3 linked regions of the Cricetulus griseus genome follow. The protein of the gene in region 1 interacts with the protein of each later gene in a pairwise test. Links are inferred from orthologs where the notes say so. Each region holds a gene or a part of one and is shown in the gene's direction. Other genes may lie near its edges. The genes, in order: Pex19, Pex11b and Pex10.

Region 1 (7,454 bases):
GATGTGCAAAGTGTGTACCAGGTTCTTTGTGTTATTTCTGAGACAGGTCTTGAACATTTTGCTTTAAAACTAGTATACATACTAGTTTTTTCACTGCATATTTTAAGTTATGAAAGTGTCTATAGTATCTGGGTTATGCAGTCTTTTGCAATTATCAGCGTTGTTGCAATAAATAAACTTGAACACACATTGTATGGGTGGGGAAAGTATCCCTGAGGCTGAACTACAAAAGGAATACCTGCTTCAAAGATCACAGGACTTTTATGTTGTCAGATCTAAGAGTTGCTGTCTTAAATATAATCCTCAAACTAAGGCTGCTTTCTCAAAAACCTGTATACTATAAAAATATTTTCTCAAGTTTTAAACATCCTTCCTGCAAGTACAGGCAAGAATCAGGCATGGTGGCTTACACCTATAATTAAAATTCTTGGAAGGCTGAGGCGGAACAATTGTCTCACATTCAAGGCTAGCCTTGGCTAAAGAGTGAGACCGTCTCAAGAACGACATCTTGGGGGTTACAGAAATGGCTTAGCAGAGGACTAGAGTTCAGTTCCCATCATCCACACCTGGTGGCTCATAACCACCTATAACTCTTAGCTCCAGAGGGATTTGTCACCTCTTGCTCCTAACAGGAAGTGCACTCACAAACACACACCCAAATGCGTATGTGCGCACACACAATTTTAAATAATTAAAAATATTTTTTAAGTCTTGGCAGGATGATCTTTTAAGTTCTAGGCCAGCCAGTGCTACATAGTGAGACCCTGTCTAAAAATAAGGGTCTTTTTTTTTGTAAGTTTACAAATTAAATCACAAAACTGTACACAAACATTCTAAAGTAAGTATTGTGAACCCAGTTGATAATCTCTGCTTCTTGTCACTTACCTAACTTGGGAAAGAAGAATGGATATATATGAAATAATTCTATCAGTCAAAAGTCTGAAGTTAATCATAAGCAGTGGAGAGCCATTAAGTCCTTAAACAGTATGAAAAAAATATGAGCAGAGGGGCTGGAGAGATGCCTCAGAGGTTAAGAGCACTGACTGCTCTTCCAGAGGTCCTGAGTTCAATTCCCAGCAACCACATGGTGGCTCACAACCATCCGTTATGAGATCTGGTGCCCTCTCCTGGTGTGCAGATGTACATAGAAGCAGAATGTTGTATACATAATAAATAAAATCTTAAAAAAAATATATGAGCAGAATAGGGCATGGCAGTGAGTATCTGTAATACTGGTACTTGGGGTGTGTAGGCAACAGGATGAGGATCTAGGTCAGCCTGAGCTAAATGAGCCTCTTCAAGCAAGAAAGGAGAGGGGGTACTATGAAATACGGTTTTGTCAGTATTCACTATGTATTAGGAAGTCAGAAAGAGCAGTGAGGGGTGAGTTACATTGCGGTAGGATGTTAGGACTATCAGAAGGAGGAATAGAAAGCAGAGCGGGCGTGGTAGCACACGTCTTTAGTTCCAGCACTCTGAAGGCACATGCAGGGTGATTTCTGAGTTTGAAGACAGCCTGGTTCTACAGAGTGAGTTCCAGGACAGCTAGGGCTACACGGAGAAACCCTGTCTCGGTAAAACAAAACAAATGCACACACAACAGAGAAGGAAATAATGCAGAGAAAGAATTATGTTTGTGTTTGAGTCTGTCTGAATTCTATTAACTGTGTTTCCAATTCTACCTCCAGTCAGCCCTTACAGGCAGGACCAACTCGGATTTATTTGTATATTTCATTGTGCCTAGCATAAGATTGTATACAACTGTAGATGCTCACTACGTGCTAAAAATAGATTTGGCAATCATTATTTTGTTTATCTATCTGTTTTGTGTCAAGGAGCACATGTGGAGGTCAGAGTCCAGGGCATGGGTAGAAGTCTCTCCTAAGGGTGGGGGGGTGGCACACACCTTTAATCCCAGCACAGCAGAGGCAGGTGAATCTCTGTGAGTTCGAGGCCAGCCTGGTCTACAGAGCGAGTCCCAGGACAGCCAGGGCTACACAGAGAAACCCTGTCTTGAAAACAAACAAACAAAAAATCTCCCCTACCATGCAGGCTTTGAAATTGCCTCAATTTGACAATTCTGTTTTTAGCCTTAAAAAAAAAAATGCACGTTACCGGGAGTTTTTTAGCTCCGGGTTTAGCTAAATCTTGTGGTGTAATCTCTTCCTTCTGGAGGAGGAGGCAGTAGGACAAGAAGAACCTGCCTGAAAACAAAACCTCTCCGGACGAAAGGGAAAGTTAACAAACAGATCCTCTCGCCTCTTCAGCCCCTCAGCCCGGCCCCCACCTCAAGCTGGGCCTGGTGGGTCGGGCATTTGGGAAATGGAGGCGGGAGGCGCCCGATTTCTAGACCAGCCTGCGCAACAGATCTAGTTCAAGTCCAACCGCCGTGGCTGTAGCTCCGGGGGTGGAGTGCTGGCTTAGTTCGTGCGAGGACCGAGGTTGCTTCTCAGAAGAAAAATAAAAACAACAACAACCAACGAAAGCCACGGTTTCCTGTCCCTTTAAAAATGGCGGTCCTGCACAGTAGAGCGATATCATTGGCTGCACAAAGTCACAGGGGCGGGGTTAGGGGCGGGACGTGTGGTGGCGCCAGTGGTTCCACCTCCTACGGCAAGTCGGAGGCAGCAAGATGGCGGCCGCTGAGGAAGGTTGCGATGCTGGGGTCGAAGCGGACCGGGAACTGGAGGAGCTTCTGGAAAGTAAGAGCCCGTGGCGGGAAGGCCAGAGGGGTCGGGGGCGAGGACCCTCTGCGGGGTTAAGGGAACTTGAGATTTGGGGCGGAGCGGGGGAATCTCTCCAGTGGTTGGCGGGGGAGGTGGTCTGACTTCGACCCCGGCCGGCCCTCCGCCTCAGCGGGAGCTGTGTGTTCGCCTTGGTCACTGATCAGTCCAGACCTCAAATCTCTCTGCGGACACCCCCACCCCCGCCAAAACTGGTCTTGCTTTAGAGTGTCGGATTGTTTTTGAGGCTGGCTTTGAACTCGCGACCGTCTTCGTGCCTCAGCCTATGGGAGTGCTGAGATTACAGGCTGCAACCGCCAGGACCGGCTTTAGTGAATTATTGAAATCTCCTCCCCTGTCAGTAGCAACCTTCACAGAACAGAGTAACTCCAAGGGTCCTTATGTCCGTCGTAGTCTCTTTCTTAACCCAAAAGTGTCTTTCCTAACTCCTTTTACCTCACAGTCTTTCCTCATTCTTTACCAGGCCCTTGGTTCTTTTGTGTAAGTAGTTCAAGGAGACTACTTCGAAAATTATTGTTGGTTTGAGAGACTGTCTCGTGTCGTCTAGGCTGGCCTCAGACTCAGAGATGGCCTTGAACTTGTGATTTTCCCGGCCCCTGCCTCTCCATGCCAGCATGCCTGACATCCTTTTTCATCCTTTTGGAGAAACTGACAGTGAGCCAATCCCAGGGGGAAACATTTCATCTTCCTGAAGTGATGGTGGATGTTTGTTACTCTTGCCCTCCACCCTGGTTTCCTGCCCAGAGTGAGGCCGGTGCCCTTTCACTAGTCCTGGCAAGCAGAGTGGTGGTGACAACACAGGCTTTTCAGGGCAGAGGTGAACCTTTTATCTGTTGCTCAGTCACAACGACCTAGGCAGGGAGAGAATGAACAGATTTAATGAGGCGTGGCAAGTGACTCCATTGGCCCAGGGTTACTGCTTATAAGGCCAAGGGGAGTAGCTGTAGGTGCCTGCTGAATTGAACATAACTTCAGAGCTTACTACCCTCCTGTAGGACGGGTGGAGTTTGTACGAGTAGTAGGGCCCATGGAGAGTTGGGTGGGATACCCTGTGCTTTCTTACAAGAGGATATTGCCGTTAATGCCTCAGAGTGGGTTCAAAGAAATAAGTATCTCTCCCTCTCTTCATGTTAGATAACTGTGTGTGGTTTTAGGGAATTTTATAGCATGCATATAGAGATTTCTCTCTGCGCAGCTTATTTCATCCTTTCTCCCTAGTTCTAAGATGAACACTGGCTTTATGTAAAGGGTTTTCTTTCTTGCCAGCTATTCATAATAAGTTAGATGATTCCCAAGGAATGTGGGAAACCTGTTTGTTGGTCAGTGGACCAGGCAGGGGAGACACCAGGAAAAGAGGGGAGTTCAAGGAAGCTGGCACTCTATATGATTATGTTCCTGACAGTTTGCTCAGAATTGCAGCTTGCTAGCCTTATCTATCCCCAACATACCCACCATGTCTCTTGTTTCCAAAGGTGCTCTTGATGATTTCGATAAAGCCAAACCCTCCCCAGCACCCCCTCCTACCACCTCGGCCCCCGATGCTTCAGGACCCCAGAAGAAATCGCCAGGAGACACTGCCAAAGTATAAATCCCACCCCCTTAAGGGAGGGGGGATGGGCATGCAAATCAGAGCAGGGGTGGGGCAGGCCCCTATGGGCCAGAAGGGTGGGTGGGAGGATGCCTTTGCCTGGAACTGCTGGGTGTTCTTCCAGGCCTCAGCTCCTGTGAAACAAGGACCTGGGGTTGTACTGAGGGGTAGCAAAGAAGCACTTTGAGAAAAGAGCAGTTTTTAGTGATTGGATTTGTATGCTACCTCACACTATTCCTTCAGTGTCCAGATTCTTTGCTTGCTGCCCTCCCGAGAAGAAGAGGCAGATAGAATGTTCAGTGGAGGTGTCTGTGGGGCTGATGTTTCATTTTCCAAGCCCACTACCTGAGCTCCCATAGAGGGCTAGACTCAGGGTGGTGCTGTAAGAGATGAATTTTGTCCACCTCTCCACTGCAGGATGCCCTCTTCGCCTCCCAAGAGAAGTTTTTCCAGGAACTGTTCGATAGTGAGTTGGCTTCCCAAGCCACTGCAGAGTTTGAGAAGGCAATGAAGGAGCTGGCTGAAGAAGAGCCCCACCTGGTGGAACAGTTCCAGAAGCTCTCAGAGGCAGCTGGGAGAGTGGGTGAGGAAACCCCAAACAAAATATACTGGACAGACCTCTTTATTGCTCTAGAATACCAGGATTGTAACATTGATAACATTGATTATAATGTTACAGCCATGGAGTGGAGCAAGGCAAGAAAAACAAGTGTGGGAATCAGATCTTGCTTACTGTAAGAAAAGGTTAAGATATTTTGGAAAATAATTAAAAAAAAAAGATTATTTCAACCAGGTGTAGTAGCATGTTCCTTTAATCTATGGGAGGCAGAGGCAAATGGATCTCTGTGAGTTTGAGGAACTCACTATGATCTACATATTGAGTTCCAGGACAGCTAGACCTACATAGTAAGACCTTGTCTTAAAAGTAAATAGCGGGGCATTGGTGGCACACACCTTTAATCCCAGTACTCAGGAGACAGAGGCAGGTGGATCTCTGAGTTTGAGATCAGCCTGGTCTACAAGAGCTAGTTCCAGGTCAGGCACCAAAGCTACACAGAGAAACCCTGTCTCAACCCCCCTCCCCCCCCCAAAGTAAATAAATAAATAAATAAGATTATCCCAAACTAGCCCTTTGAAAAGACAGTGTTGTGAGTGTTACTGTGCAGAACAATTAGCACATAATCTATATAGATTTATGGCATGACCATGAAGGTGACCAAAAAGAATAGGTAAGATTTTGATGTATTAGTAGTTTGCTAGTAAATGCTTTATATCCAAGCTGGTAAGTAGGTCAGTCTAGACAAGCTGACAATTAAACTCCTAGGTAATCCTGGTTCTTTTCATTTCTCCTAGGCAGTGATGCAAACTCTCAACAAGAATTTACTTCTTGCCTAAAGGAGACATTAAGTGGGCTAGCCAAAAATGCCACTGACCTTCAGGTAAAGGGAAGGAATAGGGGTCCACTCCCAGATGCTTCCTGAGCAGTCTCACAAAGTAGATGCTCTAGGGTATCTCCTCAAATCTGACCCTGCCTTGATTTTTGTTACAGGCACATCTAGATAGTTCTTTGAACCTAAAAGAGTGGTAAGCATTCCAGGAAGGCAGTGTAACCTGTTGGCCTCTCTTTTGTCTTGTCTAGAACTCAGGCATGTCTGAAGAGGAACTGACCAAAGCCATGGAAGGGCTGGGCATGGATGACGGGGACGGGGATGGGAACATCCTCCCCATCATGCAGAGCATCATGCAGAACCTCCTGTCTAAGGATGTACTGTACCCGTCCCTGAAGGAGATCACGGAAAAGGTGTGTGAGTTTCCACTTCTGCCTTTTCTCCTCACTTCATTATGTCAACCGTGGGCCACTCTGCTCAGACAATGCATAGTAAAAGGGCAATTTGAGTGTACAAGTGCATTCTTTTAAACTCCTCTTTGTCGGAAGTAGAAGAAGTTATTGAGGGAATAAAGGTACATAGGTGATCTGATCATTTTTCCCCACTGGGAGTGTCTGAGCTAGAAGGGGTAATTTCTTCACTTTAGTTTTCTCTAAATTAGTTCAAGACTCTGAGTTTGACTGATCCATTCCTTCTTCTTGTCTTTCTTTCTTTCTTTCTTTCTTTCTTTCTTTCTTTCTTTCCTTCCTTCCTTTTTTTCTCCTCAAGACAGGGTTTCTCTGTCCTGGCTGTCTTGTATGTACACCAGGCTGGGCTCAAACTCAGTGAGATCCACCTGCCTCTGCCTCCAAAGTGCTGGGAATTAAAGGCCTGGACCCTTCTTGTATTTCTTAACTTTGTTAATTTCTCCAGTAAGGATTCACAGGATTTTGTGGTGTTGTTATGAACAATTTGAGAATAGTTTAAATGATGGTCCCTGCTTGAAAAAGCTTATAGTTTCACTAGAGAAATAGAAGCCCTTCAGCATCACAGGGCAACATGTGACTGAGTAGGAAATGAGTAGCAATACCAGGAGTCTGCAGACCAGTGTTTGTATAGCCTAAGTCCAACTCTCAAGCTAAGAGCAGTTTTTATATTGTTTTAAAAAGATTTATTTTTATTTCTATTTTTTAATTAGGGGAGTGTGTGTGTGTTTGTGTGTATGTGGAAGGGCATAGCCCACTGTGGGTGGTACCATCTCTAGGCAGGTGGGCTTAGGCTATAGCAAGAAAGCTAAAAAAAAAAAAAAAACAAGCAAAACAGTCAGCGAGTAGGCAGTATTCCTCCGTGGTCTCTGCTTGAGTTCCTGCCCTCTGTGATGGACTGTTACCTGGAAGTATCAGATGAAATAAATCTGTTCCTCCCTAAGTTGTTTTTGATGTTTTGTTGCAGCAACAGGAATAAAACTAGTACAATCATCAGAGTCTAAAATGATTATTTTCTTGCTTTTCGCAGACATAGTTTACTAATCTGCAGTAAATACCAGTGTGCCCAGAGGATTTGTTGGTGTCAACAGTACTTAGTCCTTTTCACGATGAACTCGCCTGTTTAGCCTTTCTTTCCTCTTTGTTCTCTTCTCTTTACTTTTTAAGTCCCCTTCTCTCCTTGTTCACTGAATTCTTTCCCACCCGTTCCCTCTCTTCCCTTAGTATCCAGAGTGGCTGCAGAGTCACCAGGAGTCTATCCCTCCAGAAC
Region 2 (7,454 bases), on another chromosome or scaffold:
TTGAACTTACAGGAATAAGTAATTTCCTGCCATTCCTAATACCATTCTTTATACCATAAAAACTTTTAATTTATATGTGTCTGAATGTATGCCACATGTCCCAGTAGTTTTCTTTTTAATATTTAGCTGTGTATTTTATGAGTGTTTTGCCTGCGTGTGTGTTTGTACATTACATATGTGCCTGTTGCAGAGTCAGATCAGGGTTCCAGATCCCAGATGGTTGTAAGCTGCCATGTGGGTGCCCAGATTGAATCTATGTCCTCTGAAGAGTAGCCAATCCCCCCCCCCCCCCAGACAGGGTTTCTCTGTGTAGCTTTGTAGACCAGGCTGACTCAATTCACAGAGATCACCTGCCTCTGCCTCCCGATTAAAGTCGTGTGCCACAGCCAGTGTTCTTAACCACTGAGCCAACTCTTCAGCCCTAGGTGCCTTTATAATAATAGGTGGTGGAGACCTTGTTTGTAACAGTAATTTTTTTTTTCTGCCTTAGAACTATAAGTCAAAGGTGGATCTCTGTGAGTTTGAGGCCAGCCTGGTCTACAGAGCGAGTGCCAGGATAGGCTCCAAAGCTACACAGAGAAACCCTGTCTCAAAAAACCAAAAAAAAAAATATATATATATATATATGTCAAGCTTTTGCTGTGGCTGCTGCTACTTTTTAGGCAAGGTCTTAAAACTAATTAGATCAGGCTAGCCTGGAACTCAGCTAACTGACTACATTTCCCTCCAGTGCTGGGTTGTTGAGATAGGTGCAAACCAGTTAGTCAGGCTTGTGTTACATTTCTGATATTTTATGATTTGAGATTAAGTCTTTTAGCGACAGGGTCTTGCTATATCACTCTTTGTGGACCTGAAGTTTACGACACAGATTAGGCTGGCCTTGAAGTGGTCCTCCTACCTCTGTCTCCAGAGTGTTGGAATTGCAGGCATACACTACAGTGTCTAATTTTAATAGGTATCAAGTTAATGAAAATTTACAAGCTGAATATGTCACCCTCCACCTTGTAGTGTGTCTGTTCTTGCCTCAGGACGAACACAGACTCTAACCTGGCCCACCTTTCGTCTTGCACGCATTTTCTAATCCTCAACTTTAGAAGTAACATGTGAGACCCACATGCACTTGTTTTACATCTTAGTCTTTACAGAGTTTTCCTGGATTTCAAGAGTAGATTAGATAGACATTCCACTCTTTAACTCCTAACGTGGCTGGGCATACCAAGCAGGCAGTTCTCTTAAGTACCTGTCAAAGTGGAGTATACTCAAGAGTTGATGGACGTTCTTTCTTTTTTTTTAAATGTATTTATTACATGTACACTGTTCATGCCTACATGCCAGATCTTGTTATAGATGACTGTGAGCCACCATGTAGTTGTTGGGAATTGAACTCAGGACCTCTGGAAGATCAGTCAGTGCTCATAATCTCTGAGCAATCTCTCCAGCCCCATGGACATTATTTCTTGAATGGAATAAAAAACAGTTTAACCCAAAGCTTCAGACTTAAAAAAAAAATTACGTGTATGGTGTTTTTCTTTACATGTTTGTATCATGTGCATAACTGGTACCTACTGAGGTTAGAGGAGGTGTTAGGTCCCCTGGAATTAGAGTTACAGATGGTTGTGAGCCATCATGTGTGTGCTGAGAATTAATTGAACCTGGGCCATCTCCAAGAATAAGTACTCTTTGAGTCATCTCTAGCCAGACTTCCTTCCTTCCTTCCTTCCTTCTTCTCTCCTTTTCAGACAGGGTTTCTCTGTGTAGCCCTGGCTATCCTGGAACCAGCTCTGTAGACCAGGCTGGCCTTGAACTCAGAGATCCACCTGCCTCTGCCTCCCCAGGGCTGGGATTAAAGTTGTGTGCGACTATGCCCACTAATGTCATTCTTAATAGACCTGCCTTTCTCTGCCCTGGAATTTTTTGCACCAGTATCCTAGAGGAGGTGGTACAGGGATGCGGAGTGGAAATCAAGCACCGCAAAGCCAGCCTGAGGGAAGAGACAGATGCATGTAATAGGGTAGTGCTTTTAAAGAATTGTATTTTCCATGTATGAATGTCAGCTTGATGTGTACATGTGTGAATCACATGCATTCCTGGTGCCCATGGAGGCCAGAAGAGAGCATCAGATCTACAACTGAAGTTAGAGACAGTTGTGGGCACCCATGTGCACGTTGGGAATTGAACCCCAGGGCATCGAAAGAGCAGTAAGCACTCTTTAACTACCAAGCCAGCACCTGCCCCTTCTCTTAAAAAGTCAGGGTCTCAATGTGTAGCTCTGGCTGGACTGAATGGAGCTCTATAGATAAATTAATTTTCTTTAAACTTTCAATGGTCTCCTGTCTCTGCCTCCTAAGTGTTGGAGTTACAGGTATTTGCCATCACATCCAGCAAAATGTAGGTCTAGCATGTAAATGAACTTCCCAGGAGGGAGCAGAGGCTCCCTCTCTGAGGATCCATGGCCCAGCCTGCAGCCCTGACACCTCACCTAAGGCAAGCAAGAAGCCAGGTGGTGTGGTGTCTGTCCCTCGGTGTGTGCCTGCCCCGGTACATTTCTTTTACACACTGTCTACACCTTCCACCTGAGCGCTGGGTTAAAGCTTCAAGGCAGGAAGGCCACCCACATGGCAATTAGTTTTTAGAGGCATGGGGTCTAACATGCGACATCTCCAAATACAATGGACAAGAATATTTCAGGTAACAAACATGTAGGGGCATAACCGCAGAAGTGACCGTTAAGTTGGCAACGGTTCATGAGTCAAGAGTAGTGGAGCTGGGAAGGGATGGAGCTGGCTGCATCACTGGTGTGCGGCTGACCACAGCACAGCCAGGTTTCTTCCAGCAGAGTAACGCAGAGCACAACAATGGTCACTCCCATTCGGACCTTGCTACCTCTGAGAAGGTGGGCATCTCTGACCTATTTCCACTCCTGTAATTTTGCCCAGACCGTCCTTCACCACTGCTGACCCCGAAAGTGTGCCAGGGCCTGCAGATGTGGTAGCCTGTGAATTCCGTCCACTTAATTCTGCCCCTGGACTATTCATCATCTATGGGAGAGGAATTGCCAAACGGGATCTCATCACACCCTCGTTCCCTTGGACCGTTAGTCTGGGCTACAGGATTCTGCTGCCCTGGGCTCTTCATTGCCCACAGTGGGATAGGGATAAGATAGATTGCCTTGGCCGACACCCTACAGCGCCTCCGAGCTCCCGCAGGCCCCGCCCCTTGCTGCTGAGACGTTAAAGCAGAATGTGCTCCCGAGGGCGTGCTTAGAGGCTGCAGACCCTCCCGGAGGGGGTGATGTGCCGGAAATGCAGCCACGATCTCGCTTCGCGTCCTGAAACTCCGCCACAGGGCCGGCTCCCGCTGGTTGGCTTTCCTGCCGCCGTTTGTCCCTCGCGAAGCCCCGTTGCTCGCCCGGGAGGCGTGACTAGGGGTGGAAGCGGGCGGGCTGCGGCGCCGTGGGCCCGGGCTGCCGCTGTCATGGACGCCTGGGTCCGCTTCAGCGCGCAGAGCCAAGCCCGGGAGCGGCTGTGTAGGTGCGGCCGACGGAGGAGCTCGGGCGGGAGGGCAGAGCAGGTGCCCGCGAGGCGACGGGCGCGCTACGGGGTCCCTAAGGGTCAGCTGTGGCTACGGGGGCCTGCGCGGCCCGGGAGGCGCACTCTGTAGCCGGTTGTGAGATGATTCCTGCTCACGGGAAAGATGGGGAAACTGAGGCATGAGTGGGCCAGCGGGGAGGCCGTCCAGGGTTACCGTGTCCACAAAGCGCAACAGTTTCCTCACTGCCCTGGTGGCATGAGGGGCGATCTTCCCGGTTCTGCGTCCTCTCACCGGCTGTCACCTAGGAGCAGCGCTGTCTCGGCTCTCCTTCGGGTCCCATACAGTTCAAGGACCTTAATCTCTTAGTTCACCTATCCGGAGGAATAATCCGCCCTTCAGCTAGATCGCTCTCTGCCGTGTTTCATATATAAACTCGCGCGTGGACGCTTGTGATGGATCCCGGCTGCTTAGGCCTCACCGTTTTACTCTCCTAACCCCAAATAGTGATCTCCACCTTCTCAATAGGCTTTATTTTCCCCTTATGTCGTTCCCTTCCCCCTGGCTTTGAGGAAAAACGGAAAGATTGGTGTGAAAAGGAGGAAATGTCCCCGGAGGAGTTGTTGTTTTCAGATTGGTTACTATTTGTCTGAGCATGTTATCTGCAAGTTTGTATGTGCACCACATGTGTATCTGGTGCCTGCAGAGGTCAGAAGAGGGTGATAGATGCCCTGGAAACTGGAGTTACAGACGGTTGTGAGCCACAATGTGGGTGCTGGGAATGCAACCGGGTCCGTTGCCCTCTCCAAGAACAAGTGCTCTTAACTGCCTCACCATCCGGCTGGAGGGCATTTTTTGGCAGAGAGGTTAGGGAGGCCTGTCCCTTACTTTTCCTGTTCTCCCCTCCAGGGCTGCCCAGTATGCCTGTTCCCTTCTTGGACATGCTTTGCAGAGACATGGGGCCAGTCCCGAATTGCAGAAACAGATTCGACAACTGGAGGGTCATCTGAGCCTTGGAAGAAAGCGTAAGTAAAACAAACCTTTCTATCAGCCCATTGCCTCTCCTTCCTGTATTTTCCCTTTCTGCTAGTTTGCCATCATTTGGCTCTTCTGCATGCCTCCAACTGAGTTAAGACAACAGGTATAAGAAAGTACACACATGGCTTGGAGAGAATGGGGCAAGTGAAAAAAACCTAAACTGGGGACAAAAATTAATTACAATTTGAATTTTTAAAAAAGAACAAATTATTTTTACCCTTATTGTATGTTATTCTTGTTTCTCGACTTTTACTTTTTTCTTTCTTTACTTTTTTCTCCACCCCCACCTTTGCTTCTTTACTTCAAATCCCTTGCTTTCCCCTGTTCTCCACAAGTGCTACGCCTGGGTAACTCGGCAGATGCTCTTGAGTCAGCCAAAAGAGCTGTGCACCTATCGGATGTTGTCCTGAGATTCTGCATCACTGTTAGTCATCTCAATCGAGCCTTATACTTTGCCTGTGACAATGTTCTGTGGGCTGGAAAGTCCGGACTAGCTCCCCGTGTGGACCAGGAAAAGTGGGCACAGCGTTCATTCAGGTTTGATTTTTGTTTTCTCCTACAAAACTATTTATGGCCTCCGTTCCTTATAGCTTGCACACACATAGACACACACACACACAGAGACACAGACACACACACCCCAACATTTAAATATTTTACTTTATGTGTATGGATGTTTTGCCTGCATGTATGTCTGTGCACCATTTGTGTGCCTGGTGCTGGCAGAGGCCAAAAGAGGGCAGCAGAATTGGAGTTATAGATGGTTGTGAGCTGTCATGTGGGTTCTGGGAATCAAAACCCAGGTCCTTGGGAAGAGAGGGGTGCTTTTACCCACTAAACCATCACTCTAGCCCATATATATGTGTGTGTGTGTGTGTGTGTGTGTGTGTGTGTGTGTGTGTGTGTGTGTGTTTAAAAAGAATGGGCTGAAGAGATGGCTCAGAGGTTAAGAATCCTGCATGCCCTTCCAGAGGTCCTGAGTTCAATTTCCAACAACATGGTGGGTCACAACCATCTGTAATGAGATCTGGCGCCCTTCTTCTGGCGCCCATCTTTTTTTTTGTTGTTGTTGTTGTTTTTGTTTTGTTTTGTTTTGTTTTTCAAGACAGGGTTTCTCTGTGTATCTTTGGAGCGTATCCTGGCACTCACTCTGGAGACCAGGCTGGCCTGAAACTCACAGAGATCCGCCTGCCTCTGCCTCCCAAGTGCTGTGATTAAAGGTGTTTCACCAACACCGGCTGTTTACACATCTTTTGATTCAAGCAACCACAGATTGAAAATGTCAAGGGGAAAAGTGCATCTGAATTGAACATGTGAAAGTGTTTTGTGTCATTATTCCTTAAACAGTATAGTATAACATTTCTTTACATTACATATTTATTGTATTAGATATTTTAAAATATCTGGAGGTAGATACAAAGGATTGTGTAGGTTATATATAAATGCAATACCATTTTATCTGAGGGATTTGAGCAGCTATGGATTTGGGTAGAATTTGGGTGAGTGGGCTGAGTGTAGGATCCCAGAATTAATCTTCCATGGATGCAAGGACTATCTATATATTACTCATTTTTTGTCTGTTTTTGAGACAGGGTCTTACTATATATCCCTGGTTGACTCACTATATAGACTATCTTGGCTTTGAACTCACAGAGATTTACCTGACTCTGCTTCCAAAGTGCTGGAACTAAAGTTGCATGCCACTGTGCTGTGACAAATAGCTATCTTAATTGACCATTTGGTTTCCAATCTTCACTTGTATCTTAAACCGTAAAAGAGTAACACTATCAGATGGAAGTTAGATTTGCTATACCATAATAAGTGGCTGAGATTGGAGATGATAAATATTGTATTACTTTAACTATGTCTAAACCATAGTCTACTCTCATTGCCTTCCTACTCATTTATTCATTTTCTCTTAATATTTTTATTTATTAGCTGGGTGGTGGTGGCACACACCCAGCACTTGGGAGGCAGAGGCAAGGTAGATCTCTGTGAGTTCAAGGCCTGCCTGGTCTATAGAGTATGAGCCAGGATAGGCTCCAAAGCTACACCGAGAAACTCTGTCTTGAAAAAAAAACAAAATAATATTTTTATTTATTATTAGTGTGTGTGATGGGGCAGGTTGCATTGCCACAGTGTGTGTGTGTGGGACAGATTGCAAGGACTGATTCTCTCCTTCCACCATGTGGATCTCAAGGTTGAACTCAGTTCATCACATTTGGTAATGGAGCCTTTACCCTGCTGGGTCATCTTGCCAGTTTTTTTGTTTGTTTGTTTGTTCAGTTTTTGTTTTATCTTGTTGTTGTTTTTGAGGTTATTGTTATTGTTATTATAGGTCTCACTACATAGCCTAATTTAGCCTTGAACTCAGGATTCTCCTGCTTTAGACTCCCCCTCCCCAGTTTAGGACAGGATTAGAGATGAGTTAGCATGTCTAGTTTCCTTTCCTTTGGTGATATAGGGGTCTCATAGGACTGAGATAACACAGTTCTACAAGCATGAAGACCGAGTTTGATCCCCAGAACCCCACCCATGCACACACACGCCCCCCAACACACACATAAGCCAGGGATGGTGATACACTCTTGTAATCCCAGCAATATGGAAGATAATCAGGAGGATTCCTAAGGCTCTCTGGCCAGCCAGCCCAGAAAGTGAGCAAGTTTCAAGCCAAGTGATAAATCCTGTCTCAAAAAACAAGATGGATAGCACCTGAGGAGTGACCCCAAGGTTGAACTCTGGGCTTCACATGCATGTGCACGCATGTGCATACATACCCACGAATGTGTGCACCCACACACATGAAAGAGATGGGGGTGTCTCATTACTCAGGCTGGTACAGAATTCCTGGGTTCAAACAATCCTACCTTAGCCATTCTAGTAGC
Region 3 (7,454 bases), on another chromosome or scaffold:
GCCCTGGGTGGAGGAACCTGTTTTCCAGGTTTGTGGCGCCTGTAGAGGGGCCTCCTGCCTAGGGCAGGCCCCACCCTAACAGTCATCATGTCCTTGGACCTGAGGTACTCCTGAGCGGGTTGTTACCCAGTCCCTCTGACCCTCTACAGTTAAAGCAATGGAGGGCACAATGGAAAATGTAAGGAGCCCCGGGATTCACCCCACTCCCAGCCCAGGTGGTGGGGCAGGCCTCCTAGAATCCCTCAGACTAAGGCAGCCTTGGTGCACCATTCCCACAGGGAAAGCACTATCTTGTCCCTCATCTGGTTCCCAGAAGGCCAGCTGACCAGTGAGGACAGGGGCTCTAGAAGTCCAGTCAAGGATGGATCACTCCTGCCTCAAACCCCAGGGCTGGATCAGGCAGAGAAAGGAATTTACTGCACTTCCCCTGGTTTCCTGCTTTGCCACCGTCTTCCTGAGTGGCAGCTGTGTGGCAAGCCCCATCCCAGGCTTGATGTACACAGCAACCACCAAAGCAATAAATCCCTTCAAGAGGCAGAGGTAAGAGTTTACAAGGAATCAGACTCAGGCAAAGGAAAGCTTATGTGTGCTGATTCATTTCATTTAGCAGTCTACTAGGTAGTGCTGGAAGGGATAACCTGGGGGGGGGGGACACAGAGCAGAAGTAATAGGGACACCTCCTGAGTATCCCCTCCCAGTTCCCTGGCCTCCCTATCAACAGAACTATGGGCCGGGGAGATCAGATAGGGCTGGGTATAGAACTCAATGGATAAAGTGCTTGTTGTACCAGCAAGAGAACCACAGGTCAGAACCCAGAGCTCATCTGATGGGTGAGATGACCCACCTGTAATTTCACCCTTGTAAGGCAGTCACTGGGGATTCCCAGAGCAAGCTAAGTAACAAGACTAGACATATGGGCAAGCTCTGGGTTTGACTGAAAGACCCTGTTCCAATGAATACAGTGGAAGAGCAATCCAGAGTGATGCCAGATATCCTGCACCAGCACCACCACCTCACACACACACACACACACACACACACACACACACACACACCACGCATACACATTACACACACATACACATCACACACACATACATACACATATATATACACACACATACACAATACACATCACACACACACACACACACACCACACGCATATACACACACATACACATTACACACACACCAAACACACACACACACACACCACACGCATATACACACACATACACATTACACACACACACACACACATATACACAAACATACACATCACACACACATACACACACATACATACACACACACATCAACACGCATATACACACACATACACATTACACACCACACACACACATACACACATCACACACATCATACATATGCCCATGCATATGCAAACATGCATACATACATATGCATATAACACACACGGTAAATTTAATTATTTAATAAAATTAGAAAACAAAGTGGCCAGAGCTAGCATTCCTGGCAAAGAACATCAGGCAAGACAACAAAATACCCAGTGTATGAAGAATATAGAAGTTGTGAAGGGCCTAGGCCTGGCCCAGGATGATGTGGTAGACTTTGGGGAATCCCTTTTGAGGGCCTTACCCTGCCTGGGGAGTGTAGGGGGGATGGCTAGGGGCAGGTGGGATGTTGGGGGGAGGAGAGGGAGAGGGGGAAGGGATTGACATCTGAAGCAAGCTTGTTCCTAATTTGAACTAATAAAATAAATAAAATAACATATTAATAATAACTAAAAAAAAAAGAAGAAGAAGAAGTTGTTGAGGGGCAAAACTGTGAACACTGCTCCTAGGATGGCTGACCTTTGCCCCAGAAGCTCCTGTGTTAGAAGAGATGCAGAACTGTATCCTGTCCCAGATCCATGACCCACCTGCATCTCTAAGCCCAGACAATGCAAGTGCTCAGCGCTAGCATGGTGGGCTCTCAACACCAGCTCTCAACACCACCATTATTCCTGAGCTACAGACCGGAAAGCCGAGACCCACCAAGTGAAGGAATGTGCAGGACACACATTGTCCCTTGTTGATGGCACCCTGGTACTGGGCTAGTGGGGGGGGGGGCGGCAAGTCAAAGGCCAGTCCAAAATCGCTCCAGTGCAGTGTCCCCAGGGACCCCCACTACAATTGATAACAGGGAATGACACTTGGTTCAGGGATTGGGGTGGCCCTCAAGGAGCCCAGAGGTGAGTCAAAGCCAGACTAGACCTGTCAACCACTTTGACCCACACCTCTGGTGCCTTCCCTAAAAGCCTCAGGAGCCTGGTCTTCCTGTCCTCCATTCTTGGAGCAGAGGAAAAAGTTTACAAGGAGCTAGTCACAAGGCTCAGGCCCAGGACCCCTGTGCTTCAGGCAAAGAGTGATCAAAGGCAGGTGACAAGGGGCATATCCTGTCCCCTAGAGAGAACTCTCACTCTACCACCACGTCAGAGTACTTAAACCCCGGAACACTGAAAAGCAAAGAGGGCCCCCAGGCCATATGGTCACCTGGGAACCCGGAGAATTGATTTAGAATGATGGCACTACTCTTCCTGCCCATCCACTTCCTCTCCTTGCTGAAGGGCCACTTGTTTCCTAACCTGTGCTGGATGTCTCTGGGGTAATAGTCCCTAGCTACCCAAGCTGGTAGAAGAGATGGGCCGATGGCACCACCTGCTGGCCTTCCTGTGGTTTGTCCCTTAAGAAGAACCCTAGGAGTGGGTGGGTGTCTTATGTGCAACAACCAACAAACGGGGGAGGGCCCTGAGGGTCAAGACACCTGTCAACAGCTGAGACGAGGTCTGTGGTTGGGAATTTGAGCCCATGGAGAGAGGCACAAGCATCTCCCAGGGAACAGATACTTGGGATACCGTTTCTGGTCTTGCTCCCCACGGTTGAGAGAAGAGAATCCAGAAAAGCAGCAGTCCATGAGGGGACACGCGGAGCAGGCCATACCTCATAGTTATGCTAGAACCGAGCTTCTGAGTTTGAAGACAAGAAAGTTTCCTAGGGACACAAGCAGCCTTGGGCCTTCGAGGAACCGGCATTTCAAACTGTTGTATTTGATTCTGCGAGAAGCTTGTGCCTCTGCCTGAGACGTGCCTGCCTCCTGGCAGTGGTCAACGGTATTGTCCGGGGCTGTCCAACCCAAGCCGAGGAAACCGGGGCATGGGCAGCCGGAGGAGACTATCACACGACTGTCCTAAAAGTGTCCACTCCTACAGGCCCAGAGACATGTACCTCCTGCCAAAAGAACTGAACGTGAATCAAGCCAAGGGCAAATCTGCGGGGCTGCGGGGCTGAGCTCTCTCAGGGTCCCGCCCGCCAAGAACCAACATCCTTCTCGATATTGGCTATTCCACTACGTGGCTCCGCCCCCCAAGCACAGACACCACCCCCTTCTGCGTGGCTCCGCCTTAGGCCCCGCCCCCGATCCCTGCCTCTCCGGTAGGTTGCCCGCCTTTCAGGATGTCGCGCTTAGGCCCCGCCTTCCTCCGCGTGATGGTCACAGCCTGCGCCGCACGACCGAGGCACGTCGAGCGTCACAGGCCCCGCCCATTGGGCGCGCCGGCGCGGTGTGAGCTCCCCAACTCGGGCCATGGCGCTGGCAGGTGCACCTGAAGTGATCCGGGCGGCGCAGAAGGACGATTACTACCTGGGAGGCCTGCGGAGCGCGGCGGGCAGCGCGCTGCACAGCCTAGCGGGTAAGCGCCCCAGGCTCCTTAGGAAAGCGAGGATCAAAACAGACTTACTCACTGCAGAACACTGCAGGTCTCTGCGCCAGGCAGCGCCTGCTTAGTGTTCTCAAACGTTTGCCCACTGACTTCTCATACGGCCCTACAGGTTGGACCTAACGTTATTACTCTTACAGGGAGGCCTGTGCATGTTTTCAGAAAGATCTCACAGGCAGGGATTTGAGAGAGCCGAGATTTGATAATAACCAGGTGATCGATCTCTGGCTTGTGTTCTTGGCACTACCTAGACTTTCCTGAGGGCTCCTAAGTTCTAGGACAGTTCCTGACTCAAGACACTTACACTGAGAGGTTCTTAGGAAGTAGCCTTCCCTCGGAGTCATTCACATCAACCCAGTGGGGAGAGTGGACAGGGCAGGGAAGCAGAGGAGCCTGAGAGAGCGAGTATTGGAGGATCGCCCTAGAAGAGGAGGGATTTGACCTGGACTTAAAGCCACCCCCCAACCTGGGTATCGGGGAGAGAATCTTATTGAACCCACTTCGCATCCCTAGAGGTAATGTTTTTCTCCTCTCAGGTGCAAAGAAATGGCTGGAATGGAGGAAAGAGATCGAACTGCTCTCAGACATAGCCTACTTTGGCCTCACAACAATTGCAGGTAGCAGTACTTGGCAGGTCCTTGGCACTGAGGGGCCCACAATCCACCCAACCCTCTGAGCAGCTCCTGGAATTCACCTACATGTAGCCTCAGGGAAGAAAGACCCTGACCAGACAAGAGGCTAGCACTCAGCCCTCAGCCAGGAGGACCTTGATCCAGGACATCCTACTCCCCCACCCCCAGGGGGAGTACCTAATCCAGGGCCTTGTGCTTGATAGACAAGGCAAGCTCTACCACTGAGCTAAATTCCCAACCCCAGGACCCACTTCTCAGTGGCAAAAGGCAAGTCAGTACAGACCCATCACATAGTGACCAATTAAACCTCTGTGTAGTCCTTTAGAATGAAACCATAGTAAGGGCCTCAGGTCACCAGTGCCAGCTCAAAATCCAGCAAGGAATGATGGAGATGCCACGAGACAGATGCCAGGAGAGGTCACTGTGGGTAACCTGCCCCCGCTGACTACACTCTGGGTGGTGGGAGACACAGAAAGCACCAAGTATCCACACTGTAAGGAATCCTGAAAAGTGTCGAGCTCTTCAGGGCAAAACACCAAGTCTGGAGGGGAAAGCATTTTCTGGTCAGACAAAGAAAGTAGCCAGGCACTCTCAGGAGACAGGCCTTCACCTTTTATGAGGCATTGCAAAATACAGATAAGGGAAGGGGATAACTGCAGGCCATGATCAGACAGACACGCTGGGGGCAGAGGTTGATACAAACGGTCATGGTGGAAAGAGTAGTTCAAGGTACACCACGGGTCTGGCTTTGCCTTCTGCAGGGTGCAAGAAAACAAGACTTTCCCAAGTTGGACAACTAGAAGCTAGCTTTTGGCAGGGGTAGGCTTGAGGGTGTTTTATCTGACTCCTTGTGAAACTGTCAGGTAAGCAGCTGACCTTTCACCTCATACTTAGGACTGAACCAGATCCACACTGAGCCATAGTCTGGAAGGCAGGAAGCCACAAGATTGGATCCCATCACTTGGATAAGGGATAGGGGTTAGGCAGAGGAGGGACTGGAAACTGGGCACAAATCAAGACTGAGGAGCACAGGAACCGACAGGGGAAGCAAGGACCTATCTTAGAGTGGCATCATGGGGTCACAGAAAGACCACAGTGGCTCTAACAAGAAGTCATGTTGACCTTGGCTAGGTCTCACGGTGATAGCCTGGAAGGACAGGTTCTGGGGTGACTGCTGATGCTTGAAGGGCGGGGAGGGGGTAGGCTGGTCTAGAAGCTTGTCCCTGCATTTGGACCCTCACCACTGTGTATTGATCCTCAGGCTACCAGACACTTGGAGAGGAGTATGTTGGGATCATCCAAGTGGACCCATCCCAGCAGCATGTGCCCTCCAGGCTCCGCCGTGGAGTGCTGGTTGCACTCCATGCTGTCTTGCCCTACCTGCTAGATAAAGCACTGCTGCCCCTAGAGCAGGAACTGCAAGCCGATGGTGACGGTACACGGGCTTCACAGGGAAGTCTACTACCTGGAGGACGAAGTCGGTCAGGGGCAAGGCGCTGGGTGCGTCACCATGCCGCCACCCTGTCTGAACAGCAAAGGAGGACGCTCCAACGGACAATCTTTATCCTTAGACAGGGCCTTGCCTGCCTCCATCGGTTCCATGTTGCTTGGTTTTATATCCATGGTGCCTTCTACCACCTGGCCAAGAGGCTAGCAGGGATCAGTTATGTAAGTAGCCATGCCAAGGGGAACTGATTATGGGCTGGGGCCCTCTGGGAAGCCTCTTTGGGACCCATGCTGATGGCACGATCACAGCCAAGTGTTGTTTCCAAGTTGGAACTGAAACCCTGTACTTGGGAAACAGCAGTTTGTTCAGCTTTATTTTCCTAAAAGTTCCAGGGAAGTGCAGTTTCCACAAAGTGCAGCGTGTGTGCGGCAACAGAGCCAGGCACTGACTTAAGTCTAACCCCACAGCAGTTTTCACACTATTGGCCTGTGGCTGGCTATGTCCATTTCACTGCCTAGGGGGATGAGCACCTATTCCAAGGGGTGTCAAGTACAGGTTCTAGCCCAGAGCTTGGCCTTTCCCGTTCATCCCTGCCTACAGCAGCGCTACCAGAAAGGCAAGGTCTTGGGGCTTGGTCTAAGAAATATTCCTGCAGTGGCCCACAGTAAGCACATCACCATTTCACACCACAGGCCACAGGCCACAGACCTTGGTCAGTAGTAAACCTGGTTGTTGCGTCTGGCTGCCTCTCACCTTTTCAAACCCTAGCTTTCTACCAATGCCCTTGCATACTGTCACCCCCCAAAACCTCCTCTTAGGTATTAACTCCATGCCCACCACCCACTAGAGCTGTTCAAAGTTCCTGTCAGAGGGGACCACATGCCATTTCCTCCAGTCAAATTACCCCTCCTACACACCCTCATCAGAGAACCATAGTCTGGCCTCAGGTTTAACCTCAGTACTGCCAGACAAGGGGTTATCCAACAAAATCTCCCCAGCAGTCACTTAGTTGAGCAGCTGTGCCTCCCTCCCCAATGTCAGGCTGCTGAATGTTAGACTCTGGGTTTGTGACAGAGCCTGCTATCCTGTGAGCCCGAGGTATCAGGTGCCCTGGTGTCTTCATAAGAAGGGACAGGAAATGGAAGACAGCAGGGTTCTGTTGTGATGTGGATGGGAGTTAGATCACTAGCTACAGCAGAGGCAAGGACAGGATCCTGTCACAGAGGACTCAGTAAAAGGAACAGCATCTGCTCGTCCAGGTTCCCCTCACTATTCCCCATTCTACTCTTCCCCAGGCTCCTCCTCTTCCTCTGAAGTGGTCCCCAAACAGCTCTAGAATCCTCACCCATTTTCCTGACCCATCTAAGCCTCCTGGCTCAGTTCTGGTCTAATGCCTAAAGATCAACCTATAATTTGGGTTCTCCCTCACTACTTAATTCTTGAACATATCTCCCTGGTTGGTTCTTGTTTTCTGAACACTCCCAGTGCCAAGGGGAGGCCTGGCTGAACACAAAACCCCTAGCAGACAAGAGGCCAGGTCCTAGGGGGATCCTGATGGCGTCGGGGTTGGGGGGTTACCTGTTTTAACAGCTCCGAACTCGCCGCTTGCCTGGAGAGGACCTGAGAGCTCGTAC

Evidence for each region.
Region 2: the proteins of Pex19 (region 1) and Pex11b interact in binary tests that used the Homo sapiens proteins (3 or more experiments, as listed by UniProt). The link is inferred for Cricetulus griseus from reciprocal best matches to the Homo sapiens genes PEX19 and PEX11B.
Region 3: the proteins of Pex19 (region 1) and Pex10 interact in a two-hybrid assay, tested with the Homo sapiens proteins (4 studies listed by BioGRID and IntAct, with this or other methods). The link is inferred for Cricetulus griseus from reciprocal best matches to the Homo sapiens genes PEX19 and PEX10.

The regions. Positions count from the first base shown.
Region 1 is NC_048598.1:20,720,325-20,727,778, reverse strand, and holds the start of Pex19 (peroxisomal biogenesis factor 19), read left to right. Parts: upstream 1-2,627; 5' UTR 2,628-2,632; coding exon 2,633-2,702; intron 2,703-4,216; coding exon 4,217-4,326; intron 4,327-4,749; coding exon 4,750-4,915; intron 4,916-5,685; coding exon 5,686-5,771; intron 5,772-5,971; coding exon 5,972-6,133; intron 6,134-7,408; coding exon 7,409-7,454. UniProt on the Homo sapiens protein: Necessary for early peroxisomal biogenesis. Acts both as a cytosolic chaperone and as an import receptor for peroxisomal membrane proteins (PMPs).
Region 2 is NW_023276806.1:59,862,381-59,869,834, reverse strand, and holds the start of Pex11b (peroxisomal membrane protein 11B), read left to right. Parts: upstream 1-3,268; 5' UTR 3,269-3,291; coding exon 3,292-3,530; intron 3,531-4,437; coding exon 4,438-4,553; intron 4,554-4,901; coding exon 4,902-5,103; intron 5,104-7,454. UniProt on the Homo sapiens protein: Involved in peroxisomal proliferation. May regulate peroxisome division by recruiting the dynamin-related GTPase DNM1L to the peroxisomal membrane. Promotes membrane protrusion and elongation on the peroxisomal surface.
Region 3 is NC_048595.1:1,247,103-1,254,556, reverse strand, and holds the start of Pex10 (peroxisome biogenesis factor 10), read left to right. Parts: upstream 1-3,555; 5' UTR 3,556-3,608; coding exon 3,609-3,714; intron 3,715-4,277; coding exon 4,278-4,358; intron 4,359-5,634; coding exon 5,635-6,041; intron 6,042-7,410; coding exon 7,411-7,454.